Linked DNA regions of Sus scrofa. The protein of the gene in region 2 interacts with the protein of the main gene of each other region in a biochemical or structural test. Links are inferred from orthologs where the notes say so. Each region holds a gene or a part of one and is shown on either strand. Other genes may lie near its edges.

What was found. The genes of interacting proteins can lie anywhere in the genome.
Region 1: of the proteins of SMURF1 (region 2) and AXIN1, one has a biochemical effect on the other in vitro, tested with the Homo sapiens proteins (2 studies listed by BioGRID, with this or other methods). The link is inferred for Sus scrofa from reciprocal best matches to the Homo sapiens genes SMURF1 and AXIN1.

Annotation. Positions count from the first base shown.
Region 1 is NC_010445.4:41,345,320-41,353,033, forward strand, and holds part of AXIN1 (axin-1), read left to right. Parts: intron 1-78; exon of another isoform or gene 79-2,797; 5' UTR 2,798-2,879; coding exon 2,880-3,760; intron 3,761-7,714. UniProt on the Homo sapiens protein: Component of the beta-catenin destruction complex required for regulating CTNNB1 levels through phosphorylation and ubiquitination, and modulating Wnt-signaling.
Region 2 is NC_010445.4:6,136,387-6,144,797, reverse strand, and holds the start of SMURF1 (E3 ubiquitin-protein ligase SMURF1), read left to right. Parts: upstream 1-3,419; 5' UTR 3,420-4,836; coding exon 4,837-5,131; intron 5,132-8,411. UniProt on the Homo sapiens protein: E3 ubiquitin-protein ligase that acts as a negative regulator of BMP signaling pathway. Mediates ubiquitination and degradation of SMAD1 and SMAD5, 2 receptor-regulated SMADs specific for the BMP pathway.

The DNA of each region.
Region 1 (7,714 bases), about 35 Mb from region 2:
CTGCAGCTGCTGTTTGATGGGGTGGTGCCAGGTGCGTGCAGTGGTCCCTGGGCCTGGGGCATGGGGTGGGGTGTGGGCGGGATGCAGAGGGACCCCGGACAGAAGCAGGACCCTGGGTGCAGTGTCCCTCCCCTCTTCTAACAAAAAGTAGAGGTGAGTGAGGCTGAGACCCAAAGAGGGCGCTCCCTCTGAGGCAGCGGTGCCAGAGGCTGGGTCTAGGCTGTGGTTTGGCCCGCGTGAGTGGCTTTACTCTTTCCGCGGCTGCCTTGCCCCCCAAACTCTCTGTTGGGTGAACATCTTAGACTCTCCGTCAACCCTGCGTTTTGGAATTCCATCCCTCTTGAAACCAGAGCTGTGAAACTTAGAGCTTAGCATCCAGGACAGCAGAGAAGAATAAATACACCAATCCTCGGGGGTGTTTTTTTCTCAGCCCGTCTCTAGATAACCGATAAAGAGTTATTGTGCCTCTCCGCCCCTCCTTTTTGTCGTCCTTGTGTTCTCTGCTTCCTCAGGAAGAATTTCAGGCGTTCTGGGACCGAGCCCTGTTTTGGAGAACACACGCAGGCTCAGCCTGGCCCCCTAAGATAGCGGTCGGTATCTGAGTTCAATTTTAGGAGCTGCTATTCCAGGATGAGGACGGGAAGGCGTATGCCAAATGCATTGTTTCTGTTGGGTTTTCAGCAGGTGTTGAAGTTTCTTGGATTTCTAGTTTCAGAAAAGCTTTTCGGGTTACACAGGTCATTGAGGATTTAGCTGGTTGGCGGGATGACATGTGAAACGGCGGGCCCGGCCTTTCAAGAGTTTAATTAATGGGCCGACGGGAACGTGTCAGAGTCGCACTGCTGTTTCTGCGCGCCTCGAACCTAAGAAGCTCCTGCTGCGGCTCAGCGGGTTAATGATCTGGCTTGTCTCTGGCGCTGCTGGTTCAATCCCAGGCTCGTTGCAGTGCGTGAAGGAGTGGGCGTTGGCGAAGCTCTGGCATGGGTCACAGATGCTGCACGGGTTCCATCCGTGGCTGGTAATGTCTGTGTGCCGTGGGTGTGGCTGAAAAAAGAAAAAACAATTCAGATGGTATATTTGAGTGAAATGAATGCGTACGTACACACCTATAGCACCGAGGCAGCTGCCGTGGTGCCCAGGCATGCCTGGCAGGGACCGAAGGAGCGTTTCGGTGAGGTGTCAGGGTTTCCGATTCCCTTTGTGGCTTCCCTTTATTGATGGTGGCTACAGACCGTGGGCCAGAGTCAGTGTCGGTGGGGACTGGACTCTGACCTCAATGGATGTAAATGCCTCACGGGTGGTACACACACCCGACGTGCGCTGCAGTTGTCCGTGGGAACCCAGACATTTCGGGAATGGGCTCGTGTTTCAGCACCAGCAGGAACTGGGAGCGAGGTTCTCGTGCTTCCAAGGCCCCGAAGTTCTCCTGTCCGTTGACAGCGGAACATAGGTATGGATTTTAAGATGTTCCTTCTAGGCTAGGAAAAACTAGTTTAAGTGACATGGGGGGCTTGTTCACACACGAAGTAAAAGTTAGTCCGTTAAAGCAGTGCATTTTCATGACAGAGGACTAAGTCTTTCACTGGCTGCTCTTTCTGTAGCACAGTCCTTCAGTGCCTGCGAAGAGCCAACATTCAGCGTCTGTAGGTGGTGTTTTCCTTAATGGCGATGAAGTAAGTATTTATTGGTGCCCATTACTTGCAGGACCTTGTGTTAGATGCTGTGAGTCCTGCAGAAAATGTTTAACTCGGGCTGCCACAGACCACTCCTGTGGCAGAAAGGGGCACTTTAAGAGAAAGTGACGGTGACTCGGAATTAGCCTCCCAGTCAGACACAGTGATGTGTTTTTCTCAAGGCTGGCGGATCCCTGCAAGGGTGAGGCTCAGGGACCAGGGGTGGGTCCTCTTTCCTGAGCTGGTGTCCTTGACGGGAGAACCCTGGATGGCCGCGAGCAGCTGTGGAGCTGGGACACCAAAGGTGCTCAGTTCGTGTTGATGGCACTCAGACAAAAAGCACCTTGGCAGTTTCAGTGGTCCGTGAGCAGCAGGGTGTCATAGCCCATGGGCTTTGACCTTAAGAAGCAGGCTGTTCCTGCTGAGCCTGAGCCCTTCAGCCTGCCAGTGGTTTTCATAGAAAGTCATGAGCTGCAGAGCCGTCCATAACCGTGACCCATCCTCCACCTCTGGGTGCTTCCTCTAGCCCCCCACAGCTGCCGGCCCTCAAAGTGTGTGCAATGTGCGCATGCAGGCATGGGGGCAGGTGGCGGGGTGGCGGGGAGATCCACGCCTGCTGTTTGTATGCTGGCAGGGCTTTATTTCCGTCCCTCTTTGTTCTCGCAGGATGACGCTTGTAGCTAGTGGCATGGGACATTGATCCCTTAGCGCCAGAGGCGTGCCTAGAGCTGTAAAGCTTTCCAGACATTGTTTTCACGTGGTACAAGACCGGTGACAAAGATTGAAAATTTGGGAGTTCCCGCTGTGGCGCAGCACGTTAAGGATCCGGGCTGTCTCTGCGGTGGTGCGAGGTCGCTCCCCGGCCCTGTGCAGTGGGTTCAGTGTCTCGTGTGGCTGCAGCTGGGGCGCAGGTCATAGCTGGGGGCGCGGGGTCAATGCCTGGCCCGGGACCTTCCACAGGCTGTGGGTGTGGCCTCTGGAAAAAAAACAGAGTGAGAATTTAAGCCGAGTCTCTGGCTTTGAGCGGGAGGGCGTCGTTGCGAGGCTTGTCTGAGAAAACCTCTGTGGTCGTGTCTCCATGGCCCCACTGTTCCTAATCCTTGTCCTCTTGATGGTTTCAACAGGCCAGAGTGATTCCCTGGGAGCCGTAAGTACTGATGTATTAGGGTGCAGCGCGCGTTGCGCCTTGACGCACAGCGCCCCAAAATGAATACCCAGGAGCAGGGCTTCCCCTTGGACCTCGGCGCAAGTTTCACCGAAGATGCCCCCCGGCCCCCAGTGCCTGGTGAGGAGGGGGAGCTGGTGTCCACAGACCCCAGGCCCGTCAGCCACAGCTTCTGCTCTGGGAAAGGTGCCGGGATTAAAGGGGAGACTTCGACAGCCACGCCGAGGCGCTCGGACCTGGACCTGGGGTACGAGCCCGAGGGCAGCGCTTCGCCCACCCCGCCGTACTTGAAGTGGGCCGAGTCGCTGCACTCCCTGCTCGACGATCAGGACGGGATAAACCTGTTTCGGACTTTCCTGAGGCAGGAGCACTGCGCTGACCTGCTGGACTTCTGGTTCGCCTGCAGCGGCTTCAGGAAGCTGGAGCCCTGCGACTCGAACGAGGAGAAGAGGCTGAAGCTGGCCCGAGCAATTTACCGCAGGTACATCCTCGACAGCGGTGGCGTCGTGTCCAGGCAGACCAAGCCGGCCACCAAGAGCTTCATCAAGGACTGCATCGCCAAGCAGCAGATCGACCCTGCCATGTTCGACCAGGCGCAGACCGAGGTGCAGTCGAGCATGGAGGCCAACACCTACCCCGCCTTCCTCAAGTCCGACATCTACGCTGAGTGCACGCGCGCGGGCGCCGAGAGCCCCAAGGCCTGTGGCGAGCCGGGCTCCGCGGCAGGCACGGGCAAGGGGGTCCCCGGATACCTGCCCACGCTGAACGAGGACGAGGAGTGGACGTGCGACCGAGGCGCGGACGAGGAGGCCGCCGGAGACCCCGCACCGCCCGGCAGGCTCACGCAGACGCTGCTGCTGCTGGAAACCGCCGCCCCGCGGGCCTGCTCGAGTAGACGGTACAGCGAAGGCAGAGAGTTCAGGTGAGTCCCCCGCGAGGCCGCCGTCCCACGCTCGCCTCCGGGCACTGGAGGACTGGCCTGGGAAAGGGCTGCTCCCTCGGCTCTGGCCCCAGAGCGGCGGGACGCCTGGTGCCGGGGTGCGAGGTCACACGGTGTGCAGAGCCTGGCAGGTGGAGGGTGCTTTTGGCGAGAACAGCCCCAACCCGAGTGGCTTCGGAAGGCGCTGGGAATGTGGGCTGCCTTGGACGCCACGTGGCGTCCAACCCTTAGCAGTCCCGTGTGTGTCCCCTCGCCCAGAGGGGTGTTGACCTGGTGGCCGCGGTCCTTGGGGCTCAGAGAGCGGAGGCCTGGACGTTGAAAGGCGTCGGTGCGTGGAGAATTCCGGGTCGTCCCCCGAGCTTCTTCCTAGAGGTCGGGAAGCGCTGCTGGCGAGGCTGCTGTGCCGCAGGCGGTCCGAGCCCCGTGGGAACTTCCTGTGGCTGCGCTTGTGGGTCTAGGACCACCCCTTTCTCCTGCCCAGACCGGGACTCGGAAGCTGTGGTCATGGTCGTGGCCTGTGGGCACAAAGGCAGCTGGGAGGCCAGGAGCGGTGCCTTTGGCAAGTCGCTGGGACTTTGGAAACCTGTTTCTTGGTTCTCTTTCTTGTGGTTCCTGGCAGTTTGTTTGGTCTCTGGCCGGAGCTTGTGGCCGCCGGTCGCAGCCCTTCCCCTCCCTTCCCCGTCCTGGCCTGCGAGGTGCTGAAAGGCTGGCATTTAATAAAGCGACCCCATGATGCAGGCGAGTCTCCCGGCGCTGGTCTCCCGGACCCCGTCTTCAATCTTCTCGTGGCAGAAAAAGTGGTTACTTGCTAACAAACACAGGGCTAGATGTGCTGAGGGTTGAAATGTTCTCTAAGGGGTGGGAAGCAGACACACTGTCCTAGGTGACTTTCGTTTGCCTTTTTCTCACTGTCTCTCTCTTTTCTTTTTTGGCCTATGAGGTTCTCGGGCCAGGGATCAGATCTGAGCCGTAGCTGCAACCTCAGTTGCCACGGCTGCGGCAGTGCCGGATCCTTAACCCGCTGTGCTGGGCTGGGGGTCGAACCTGCCTCCCAGTGCTCCCAGGATGCAGCTACAGCGGGACCTCCTCATGGTCTTTAAACCTTACGTGGCGCAGTGGTTAACGAATCCGACTAGGAACCATGAGGTTGCGGGTTCGGTCCCTGCCCCTGCTCAGTGGGTTAACGATCCGGCGTTGCCGTGAGCTGTGGTGTAGGTTGCAGATGCGGCTCGGATCCCGAGTTGCTGTGGCTCTGGCGTAGACCGGTGGCTGCAGCTCCGATTCGACCCCTAGCCTGGGAACCTCCATATGCCGCGGGAGCGGCCCAAGAAATAGCAAAAAGACAAAAAAAAAAAAAAAAAAAAAAAAAAAAAGAAAATCTAAATCTAACTTGAGAGTGTTCATATTTGGTCAGGACAGTGTTCTTTTTGTTTGTTCGAAGGACCACACCTGCAGCCTATGGAGGGTCCCAGGCTAGGCGTCGAATCGGAGGTGCAGCTGCCGGCCTACCCCACAGCCCACGGCAACGCCGGATCTTTAACCCACTGAGTGAGGCCTGGGATTGAACCCCCATCCTCATGGATGGATACTAGTCGGGTTTGCTACACTGAGCCACAACGAGAACTCCTCGACTTGATCTTGTGTGGGGCAGGTTTAGGTCACCAGCAGAGTTGAGAGGAAGGTGCCGCAGTTTCCCGCACACTCGTGTCCCCACGTGTGCATGGCTCCCCCGTCACCGGCCTCCCGCAGCAGAGTGGTCATTTGTCTCAGATGCCAAAGCTATGGCATGACCACCCGCCGTCCGTGGTTGCACTCCAGGCCCCTCAGCGGTGGGGTCCGTCCTGTGGGTTTGGACCAAGGTGTGCGACGTGTGTCTGTCGCAGAACTGCATGGGGTGGTCTCGCTCTGCCTCCGCGTCCTTTCCAGCCCCCGCCCCTGCCCCTGTCAGCCCCTGAAGCTTTTGCCATCTTCATGGCTTTGCCTTTTCCGGAAAGCCATGTAGTTGGAGCTGTGCAACGTGCAGCCTGTTCACGCTGGCTTTTCTCTCTCTCTCTCTCTCTTTTTTTTTTTTTTTTTTGTCTTTTTGCCTTTTCTTGGGCCGCTCCCGCGGCATATGGAGGTTCCCAGGCTAAGGGTCGAATCGGAGCTGTAGCCGCCGGCCTACACCAGAGCCACAGCAACTCGGGATCTGAACCATGTCTGCGACCTACACCACAGCCCACGGCAACGCCTGGTCCTTCATCCACTGAGCGAGGCCAGGGATCAAACCCGCAGCCTCATGGTTCCTAGTCGGATGCGTTAACCACTGCGCCATAACGAGAACTCCTAGCTTTTCTCTCTTAATACGCTTTTGCGGTTCCTCGGTGTCTTTTTGTGGCTCCGAAGCTCATTTCTTTTTGGTGCTGAACCGCGTGGGTGGTCTGGCTTATTTACCCACTCGCCTGCTGGAGGACATCCTGATTGCCGTGTTTGACAGTTGTGACGAAAGCTGCAGTAATCACCCGTGTGCAGGGGTTGGTGTGGGCCTGAGTTTTCGTCCCCTTTGGGTGAATGTCAGGGGCCTGAGCGCTGGATTTCATGGTGAGAGCAAATTGAGTTTTATCAGAAACTGTCCCCTTTCCGAGTGTTTTTGCCTCTGCCTTCCTGTGGCCAGCTTTGTGCCAGGTGGGCTCCCTTGCCTTGGAGGGTGGCTCCGGGCTCTGGGCGCCCTTGTTTTGTAAACAGACGCTTCCCACTGAAGGAAGCACAGAAGGGGGCCCCGCGTCTGCCCTGGTGGTCAGGGATGGCTTGTGCCAGTGTCCTGCCCGTTCCAGCATCGTGACCGCGCCAGGGCTGGGCCTGCTGCTGGGCTCACCCCAAACAGGGCGCCCAGAGGAGGAGGTGCCCAGACGGGGAGCCTCACGGGGGGCGGGGTGCAGGTCTGAGCAGGCCCCTCCCCCCGGGGAGCGCGAGTGTGCACGCACATGCATGCACATCTGTTTGTCCTGTCGCTGACTTGAGAAACAGCAGGTGAGCCTTTTACTTAGGTCTTTGTCAAAACCGAAAGAGTAGAGGTGGCCCTGGGTTTTTCTGCATTTGTCCTGCTCACCTGGGTCCTTTTGAGCCCTCGGGCTGAAGCATCCCCAGACTCGTTGCTGCTCCCCTGGTCTCTCTGCGAAGGGTCTCCCTGGTCCTTGTTGCCTGTTGTTGGTGGGACTGTGAGCATGTGTGACTTTGGCTGATTCACACCCACCATTTAAATTCGGTCTTTTTTTTTTTTTTTTTTTTTTTGTCTTTTTAGGGCCAAACCCATGGCATATGGAGGTTCCCAGACTAGGGGTCCAATCACAGCTGAAGCTGCCGGCCTACACCACAGCCACAGCAACTCGGGATCCGAGCTGCGTCTGCAATCTATACCGCAGTAAATGGTAACGCCTCATCCTTAACCCACGGAGCGAGGCGAGGGATCGAACCCGCATCCTCATGGGTACTAATCAGGTTTGTCACCCCCGGGCCACAGTGAGAGCTCCCCACCACTTAAATTTGGTGTCAGTTGGCAAAGGGCCCTCTGATGATGCGGCTCCCCGTGCCCGGCGGCTCACGCCATTGGTCAGTGGGCGGGGGCGGGGTGGGGCGGGGGCGGGGCTGCTCGGGCAGGCTGGGCGGGCCAGAGTCTGTGCGCTGAGACTGGAGCGGTGGATCCTAGGCGCTCTCCATTGGTCAGCAGGGCCGCCAATCTATGCGTGGGCGGGGACGGGGGCGCGCAGGCCCAGCCCTGAGAGGTTTAGCTCTGCGGTCGCCACGGCAGTTCCGGTGCCCCTAGGCCACAAGGCGTGGAGACTCGAGGGCAGGAGCCAGGGCCGGTCGGAGGCATCGGGGTCCTGGACGGCGCAGCCGAGCTGCAGGTCGGCTCTTTTGGCTGTGTTTTTACTTAATGATTTGGCGTTGGGGCCCAGG
Region 2 (8,411 bases):
ACGTAGTAGGTGGCTGATGTTTTCTGATCAATAAGACACTGGCATTCGTTTAGGAAGGTTCCTTCTTGTGAAGGCTGTGCTGCAAGACGCCATTAGGTGTAGCTAATTAAATGACAACAGCGGCTGTTTTCCTTTTTTATTGAAGCATGGTTGATTTACAATGTATTAATTTCTGCTGCACAGCAAAGTGGTTCAGTTATACACATATATATGTTCTTTTAAAAAATATTCTCTTCCATTATGGCTTATCATTGGATATTGAATGTAGTTCCTTGTGCTATACAGCAGGACCTTGTTTATCCATTCCAAATGTAATATCCTACATCTATTAACCCCAAAGTCCCAGTCTGTCCCCCTCCCACCCTTGGCAACCACAAGTCTGTTCTTTATGTCTCTGAATCTCTTTCTGTTCTGTAGAGAGGTTCATGTGTGCCATATTTTAGAGTCCACATATAAGTGACATTATACGTATCTTTCTCCTTCTGACGTCATTTAGCATGATAATCTCTAGCTGCATCCATGTTGCTCTGAATGGCATGATTTTGTTCTTTTTTATGGCCCAGTAGTATTCCATTGTGCATATGTACCACGTCTTGTTGATGAATAAATGAAATGGAATTCAGTTACTTCCAGAAGCGGCCTGGGAAACAGTCAAGAAAAGGCTCAGACATCTAGGAAGGTAGGAAAACAACGAGGTTAAGAAATGCCAGGTTTTTAGGTCAGACTCCTTACACCTAAGGGGTAAGAACAGGGGCCAGGACTCAGGTAAGCAGAGAAAGAGGTTTCGTTTGGTTGACAGAGAAAAGACTCCTTAAACATGGGAAAGAAGCAGAGGGAGAAAAACTGACGAAACTGAGAGAAGAATGGGATTATTCCAGGCATTCGAGGCTCGAAATGGGTTATTCAGAGCCAAGGACCCAGTGACAATTGCCTACAGAGAGAAACAAAGCTGGATTCTGGAGGTACTGCTCTGTTGCTTAAACATAGCTCTTCTTGGAAATCACTAGAATCATTGAAATTCTGAGCTGCAAGAGCCATAGCAATGATCTAGGCCTGTCCTTTTATGTCACTGATAGAGGCTGGAAAAGGCAGCCTAGCATCTGGCCCAGAGGAGAGTCAGCCTGAGCTCAGCCAGAGCAGGTGGACATGTCAGGGGCTCTAAGAAGAGAGCTCTATTCAGAAGACCGTGACCCCAAGCAAGGTCCCTGGCTGCAGGGGATGGGTGCAAGGGCTCAGAGCCTTAAGGCATTCAGAGACTTAGGTAGTCGTTCAAATACAGTTTTGATAAACAAGCCTAGCTTTTCCTCTCCAATACAGTTTGATAAACAAGCCTAGCTTTTCCTCTCCGTAACAGGTTAACACGCAGAGGAGTTTGCTGGGGAAAGCGTCAAGAGCTTTTAGTCCTACCTTGCAGCTCTGGAAGGAGGGGAGGTGTTAGCAGAAGGCAGAGAAACAGAGGCCCTAAAACTGCCTTTCGGTTTGTCTGGCTCAACTGTTTGCAGGTTGGATAACGACAAACATCTTATCTGCCTCTTTATCCCTATATCTCGCCTCCTGTTTACTTGTCTCTAGATGGCACTTCCTGCAACTCTGGCAACTTTGTTACGGGTCAACAGAGCGCACCAGTCGCCCAGAACACACCCAGGAGACTGTTTCTGGGAGAAGTCCTTGCCTTGAAATTGCGTTATCTAGAGGCTAAAACCAAACTGGGACTGCGTGCCTGTTCGTGCAAAGTGCTTGGTGTAGTAACAGGCCACAGTTTCACGTAAGCGCCCCTTCGACAGCTCTCAGGAGCTCCAGGCCTTGAGTGAGAGATCTAGAAAATCGATTCCGTTCTCTGGACCTCAACGTCCGCATCTGCAAACCGGCTCCCTCGGCGAAGACCCAGGACGACCGCCCGCGGGACCCGCCGTCCCTCCCGCCCCGAGCCGTGCGCTCGCTCCCAGTCGCCACGGCTCCACACACTGCACCGGGTTCCGCGGGCCTTCAGGGGGCTCGCCCCAGCCGCGGGGCGCCGACCTCCTCCCTCCTCCGCCTCGGGATCAGCAAGGTGCGGGAAGACCGGCTCCCGACCCCGCGCGCCCGAGACTGGGCGGGAGACGCAGCCGCGCGGCGCGCCCCGCCCCACCGTGCTCCGCGGGCGCGCGCACGCACGCAGGCGCGGGGGTGCACGGCCCGGCGGCGCGCAGGGCCGGGCCGGCCCGGCGGCGGGAGCGCGCGCGGCTCCGGGAGGCGGCGGCGGCGGCGGCGGAAGCGGCGAGGGCGGCGGGCGTCCGGCTCAGAGGTGGTGTCGGCGGCGGCAGCAGCGGCTCTGGACTGGGCTCGGCTAGGAGCGAGCGAGGGTCGGGGGCGCAGGGTCGAGCGCCGATCCTCCAGCTCGACCATCCACCAGTAGCCCAGACGCCTGGGCCGCGGAGTTTGTGTCCCGGCTCGGACCCCGGCGCCCAGCCCGGAGCCGTAACCTTGAGGCGGCGGCGGCGGGGCCGGGCCGGGCCGGGCCGGGGGGCGGCGGCGCTGGATCCGCGGCTGCCAGATCGTTGGCGGGAGATGTCGAACCCCGGAACGCGCAGGAACGGCTCCAGCATCAAGATCCGTCTGACAGGTACGGCCGGCGGGAGGGCCCCGCCGCCCCCCCAGCGCCCACTCGCACCCCGCACGGCCCCTCGGCAGCCCCGGAATTTCCCGCAGAGCGCCCTGGGGAAGTGGCCCTCCCCCACGCCGGCCGTGGTCCCAGGACCTCGTCGCCCTCTTAGGCTAGTGCCCCTCATCTCCCTCCCGGCCCCGCCCCCTCGCTGCTCCCCGGCCCCGCCCCCTCGCTTCTCGCCCCCCCATCCGCCCTCTAGCTTCTCTCCCCCCTCCACCTGCCCCCTCTCTTCTCCCCTCCTGGCCCCCTCCGGTTCACTCCCTCCATCCTTCTCGCTCCCGCTCCCTGTTCTCCCCCAGGCCCCTCGCGTCCCCCTCCTGGCCCCGCCCCCTAGCTTCTCTGCTTTTGGACCCCCTCCGTTTTCATCCCCTGCATCCTCTTTTCGCTCCCCCTCCTCCTTCTTGCCCCTCGCTTTTCCCCTCCTGGCCCCGCCCCCACTTCTCAACTCCCTCCTTCCCCTCAATTTCTTCCCTTTCCCCTCACCTGCCCCCTCTCTTTTCCCTCTTGGTTCCGCCCCCTGCTTCTCCTCTCCTTCCCACCCTCTGTCGCTTCCCAGTCTCTACCCCCACCTGCCCCCTCGCTTCTCCCCTCCCGGCCTTGCCTCCCGCTTCTCCCTCCTGGTCCCCCCACCACCCCGCCCACCGACTTCTCACCCCTCCCCCATCAGCTCTCTCGCCTTCCTCTCTTTACCACCCCTCCCCACTTGCCCCCTCGCTTCTCCCCTCCTGGCCCCGCCCCCTCACTTTCCCCCTAAGCCCCGCCCCTCATTTTCTACCTAGTCCCGCCCTCGCTTATCTCCCAGCCCCGCCCCCTTGCCTCCGTCTCGCGCCTCCACCCTTTCCTTCAGCCTCGAATTCCTCAATCCTATCTCCTAGCTTCTCCTGGTCTTGTTCTCATTTCCCCTCTGGTCCAGACCTCTTCAGTCTGGTGCACTTCCTTTCTCTCTCAAACCAGGCCACTGTCTCCTCTTGACTGTGCCGCTTCCTTTTCTGCCCTGCACTTCGCCGTCACCCCCTCACCCCCCGACATCCTTAAACACCGCCAACCCCCGCCCCCCTCACGCACGCTCTGGAGGCTCCGGCGGCTGCACGAACGCAGGCTCCTTGATTCACTCTCTTTTAGTCTTCAATGAAATGCCCGTGTCTCCTAGGTGGCTCTGTAGTGCCACCTTCAAGGGTGAGCGCGAAGCTCTGCTCTGGGCCTGCGACGTGGTGGTTTGGATGCGCGTAGCTGGCAACCGTCTGGCGGGGCCCCTCGCTAGCAGGCTCCAGCGATCCTGGACCAGTTTGCATCCTCGTCCACCCTTTCTCTCAGTACTCCACGGCTGCTGCCCGGTCTCCTGGGTTGAATTCCCACCTGAGGCCGAAATGAAATGCTGCAAATACAGTTCGGCTGGGGGACTTTCCAAACGTGCATATTTCCAGCTCTGGAAATGAAATAAAAAGTTCAGGCTAATCCCTGTCAGGGGTTTTCCCCTGGATTTTTTCTGTTCCGTGTCTGGTCTGATGATGACTCCAAAGTCATTCTGGTCAGATTCTTTCCAAAGGACAGTGAGCGTTTGGGATACTTTATGGCAAATGCATGGCCCTCAGTTATTGGTGAAATCCATGAAAACAACAGTGGGTCATTTTTTCAAACTAAAATTTCCTTTGGAGGTTCTTAGTTGTTGCATGACCCATTTTTTTTTTTTTGTTTCCAGGAAAGGGAGATTCGGGGATTTTTGTTTCTGGAGAAACAATTCTTTCTTCCAGGGCTGGTAGGAAACGCTCACTACGTAGATACAGTATATAAATACATTGTTATTTTTATGGTTACATAAAAACCACGTTTTTGACTTTGTAGTGCTTGTAAAACTTCAATTACTGACAACTTTAATTTGGTCCTCATTTACAATGTAATCTATAATTGACATCAGATTGGTTTCACTTTTCTTGTTAAAAGCAGAAGTAACTGATTTTGTGAGTTTGGGTGGAAGCGTGATTAATGTTTTAGAAGCACTAGGTTTTCATTACAACGTTTGTGTCAGGTGTAGATGTTTTAATCAAGCCTAGTTGGCAGGTCGGGACCTGGGCCTTTTTTTCCTGGAAGGGGTGGAGTGGGGGCTCTATCCTTCCTCCCAAATTATTTTGGGACTCAGGCACTTGGATGCCATAGGTTCGGAGATGCTTTAAGGAGTTTTTGGATAGTGTCTGATGTTGAAGGATTACGCGAGGAGAGTTATTTCCAAAGCACCTTTTCCCTTTCTCCCAGCTGATGTTATTACGGATCTGAAGGGAATCCCTGAGTTTGCTCCTCCCTGCAGCGAGATGGAGAATTTAGCTGTGGATGCAGACCTGCTTGATGCCAGGCGTCTGATGAACAATAATTTACTTGGAAAGGTTGGAACCAGATACTTGGTTGGCAGCGGACTAGGTTTTGGTCTCTTCTTTGAGCTTGCCAGGGGGAGTGGGATCACTGCTGGCATCTTGGGAAGCCATCTTTCAGGAGGTATGTGCTTTTGTCACAGGTTTCAGAGTTTATTTCCTTGTGTGATATTTGAAACCATGTTTTAAAACAAGGGTTATTCTAACCAGTCAGTTGATACCAGAGAGCATAGTTCAATGAAAAGTATGAAGACACTGGAATATAAGAGTGTTAGAAGTTGGCGACCACTAAAAGTTGTATTTGGTGGTGAGTGGAGTGTTGGGTTTAGAATTGGGAGACTCCGTTCTGGTAAGATCTACCATTAACTGCCTGATACAGAACCAATTATTTGACCCTTGTGAGTTCTGTTTTCTAATGTACAAAGTGAGATTTCAGCCCATGGTAACTTTCTTTTCTTTTCCTTCTTGAGGGCATATCAATTTGGCTCCCTACTTGTTCCAAATTACCATTGGCTTATGCTTTCTATTGTTGAGTGTCAATCCAGATATTCAGAATTGCTGTTAAAACCCAGCGCTTCTGTTTGATTGAAGCCAAGCGTTCCTTTTGTGTATGGGTTACATTTTATGATTTCTCCCCCACCCCCCACCCCCAGCCCTTTTGGTTTTTGAAAACTCTTGGGTAGTATGTCGCACTGCTGAAACAGTAGAAGAATGTTTGGGTCTTTATACTGAAAAGAATATGATTTTAATGAATGTCTTTGTGGTATTTTAACAGGAAAATAGTTTTTAAAGGGTTTCAGTAGGTTTGGAGCATAACATATGCAAAATCAAGTGATGTTTGCTGAAGAGCTGTCTTGCAGATATTTTAGAGTGCACCGGCAAATCAGACACTTTGGAAACTATTTTAAATTCAAGCAGGATTTGCAAAACCTTGTTCTTATGTGGTGCACAAATGAATCCCAGATACATTATTTGGGCCACTTTGGTAAAAGAATGGAATTTTGAACTCTTGGGGTTCAGTGCTCGTCAAACAAATTTTATTCTAATGTTAACCAGTTATTTGAAATTCCAAATGCCTAAACTTTTTTTGTGTGCTTTTATGCCTTGAAATACCCTCTCATCGCCTGGTGTTTTTATATTTTTCCGAGCATGACTGTGTAATATGAAGGTAATATGAAGGTAGTTTCAAGTAGAGAGGGGGGAGAGCCCTTTCTTGATAGCATATGGAAATGGAAACTATTTTTAAAGTTGTAGCACGTGTAAGGCTGACCTCCCCCCCCCTCCGGCTTCCAGATGATCCAACTTGGAGGGAAATGGTTGTAGTAATAGTTGTTAATAACTTTCATTTATCAGTAGCAGGTGACCTAATTGATTTGAAATAGTGACGTTTTCCTTAAGAAAGATTAAGAAACCTGTGAAGATGTTGCCTGAGTAGGTGTGTACCAGCAAAGACCCCGACCTATGTAAGGCAGGCGGAACTCTTGTTTTAGCAAGTGGAACTGTGATAAGAGGGAAGCCGTCACCCGTATTCACCAATGCCTGCACCTGAGTTTGCCTGACATTTTCCTTAGAGCCTGCCTCAAGTTTGTGAACGTCCAGTCAAGGCACTTCTTTGGGGTCAATTATCTAAGGGTGTGGGATGGGCCGGATCACATGCTATTGCAAAATTTCAACTCCTGTTATACTTGAAAAGCAATCACGTTCTGCCACACACACGGTCTCTCACTGACTTTATTTGTCATTTGGTCACATCTGTGTTGTCTTAAGAAAAATTGTTCTCAAACAGGCGAAAAACAATCTTCTTGACCCACCTCAGTGGCTTCAGAAGCGAACTATTTCTTGTGCTTTCTATCTGTATTTTTAGAGTAATTGTGCTCTATCAAACTAGAATATTTTTTTACTCCAAGCCTATTTCTTTGTCAGTTCACAACTCCTCTTTTTGCAACCATGAGAGTCACGTCTGAGCTTCAAGTCTTCTCTTCTCCTCGTATTTGCTCTGTTTGGTCACCTCGTCCGGCTCGAATGTGGAACATTGGATGAGCGGGAGGTCCTGGGGGCTGAGTCACTTGTGAAGATGTATTTCCTCCTGAATTAAAAAAAGAAAAAAAAAGACAAAAAAAAAAAAAAGACTGACCCATAATATTTCAACATCAGCTCAGTGATCCAGTTAACTAGACTGGCTCTTTTGTAACATGTTTGTGGGCACTGGTTAAAAGTTAAAATAGCTGAATTGTACATTTTATTGAGTGCTGAGAGCAAAAAAGGAAGTTCAAAAAAACCTTCTGAAATGGAGGAAATGGTGTCTTTGCCATGCTCTGATTTTCTGGGCGAGAAAACCTTGACTTTTAGGATTCTCACTTAAAGCACACATTTTGGCATTTCAGAACCATCACCATGGTTAAATATTTTTAAACAAGTAGCAAATTAAAAATTATGTGAGTTTATGGCGGGTTTTGGTTGTTGGTCGCTAAACAACTTCAGTTACTGGTCTGCTTGTTGTTTTATAAGTGAATTTTATCGCGCGAAAGCTCTTGCCTTGAATTGGCTTGCTGTCCATGGCCCTCTCCTTCGAGCTGACCAGAGTCCCTAAGGCCGGTCTCCTTAAGAGCTGCGGAGCCCGGTCGAAAAGACAAAAGCTCATAGCCACGTGGACCAGGTCTGTCTGCTTTTCAAAATGTTGGAATTGCTGTTGTGTCTCCAGATGACATCGAATCCATTTAGATATTTCAACCAAGTGAAATGTTTCCATATTAACATTTAGATTAACATTAACATTTAGATTAAAGGGGAAACATCCTTTTATTGTTTTAAAACAAGGCTCAACTAATGCACAAGCAGTGCGTCTGGAGATGTGGCCGGCGCTCTAATCCAGCTGTGTTCACCTCCACGGCAGCTGAAAGGAATTCTAATTGGCCGAGGAATGTCGGCACCATCATGTATCACGGAGCAGGAGCCCGTTCTGCTGGCTGCTGGGTGATGCATTTCAGATGTTTTAGGCTCCTGAGTCCAACTTGGAGGTTGCTTGCAGGAGTCTGGAAGAGAGAGGCGTGAAGCGGGGGTTGTGGACGGCAGCCGGCTTTCTTCTTTGTATGTTGGGCATCCGCCCAGTTCTCTGAAGGCCTTCGTGCTTTCTTGTGGCTTAAACACCGGACTGGGGATCAGAAGGTCCGACTTTTATTTCTAACTCACCAAAGTGCCACAGTGAAGAAGGGGATGGGTGGAATTAGAAGCTATTTGTGACTCTGTTTTTCCCTATCTGTCATGTGAGGTCCCTGCCTTTTTTATATCAGGCGAGGACTTGATAGGGATGAAATATTTTGATGAGTAGTCATGAATGATTTAGAGTAGCACAGTGTAAATACAAAGTCGTGGATGCTTTTATTTCTTATTCCTAAATAGTCACG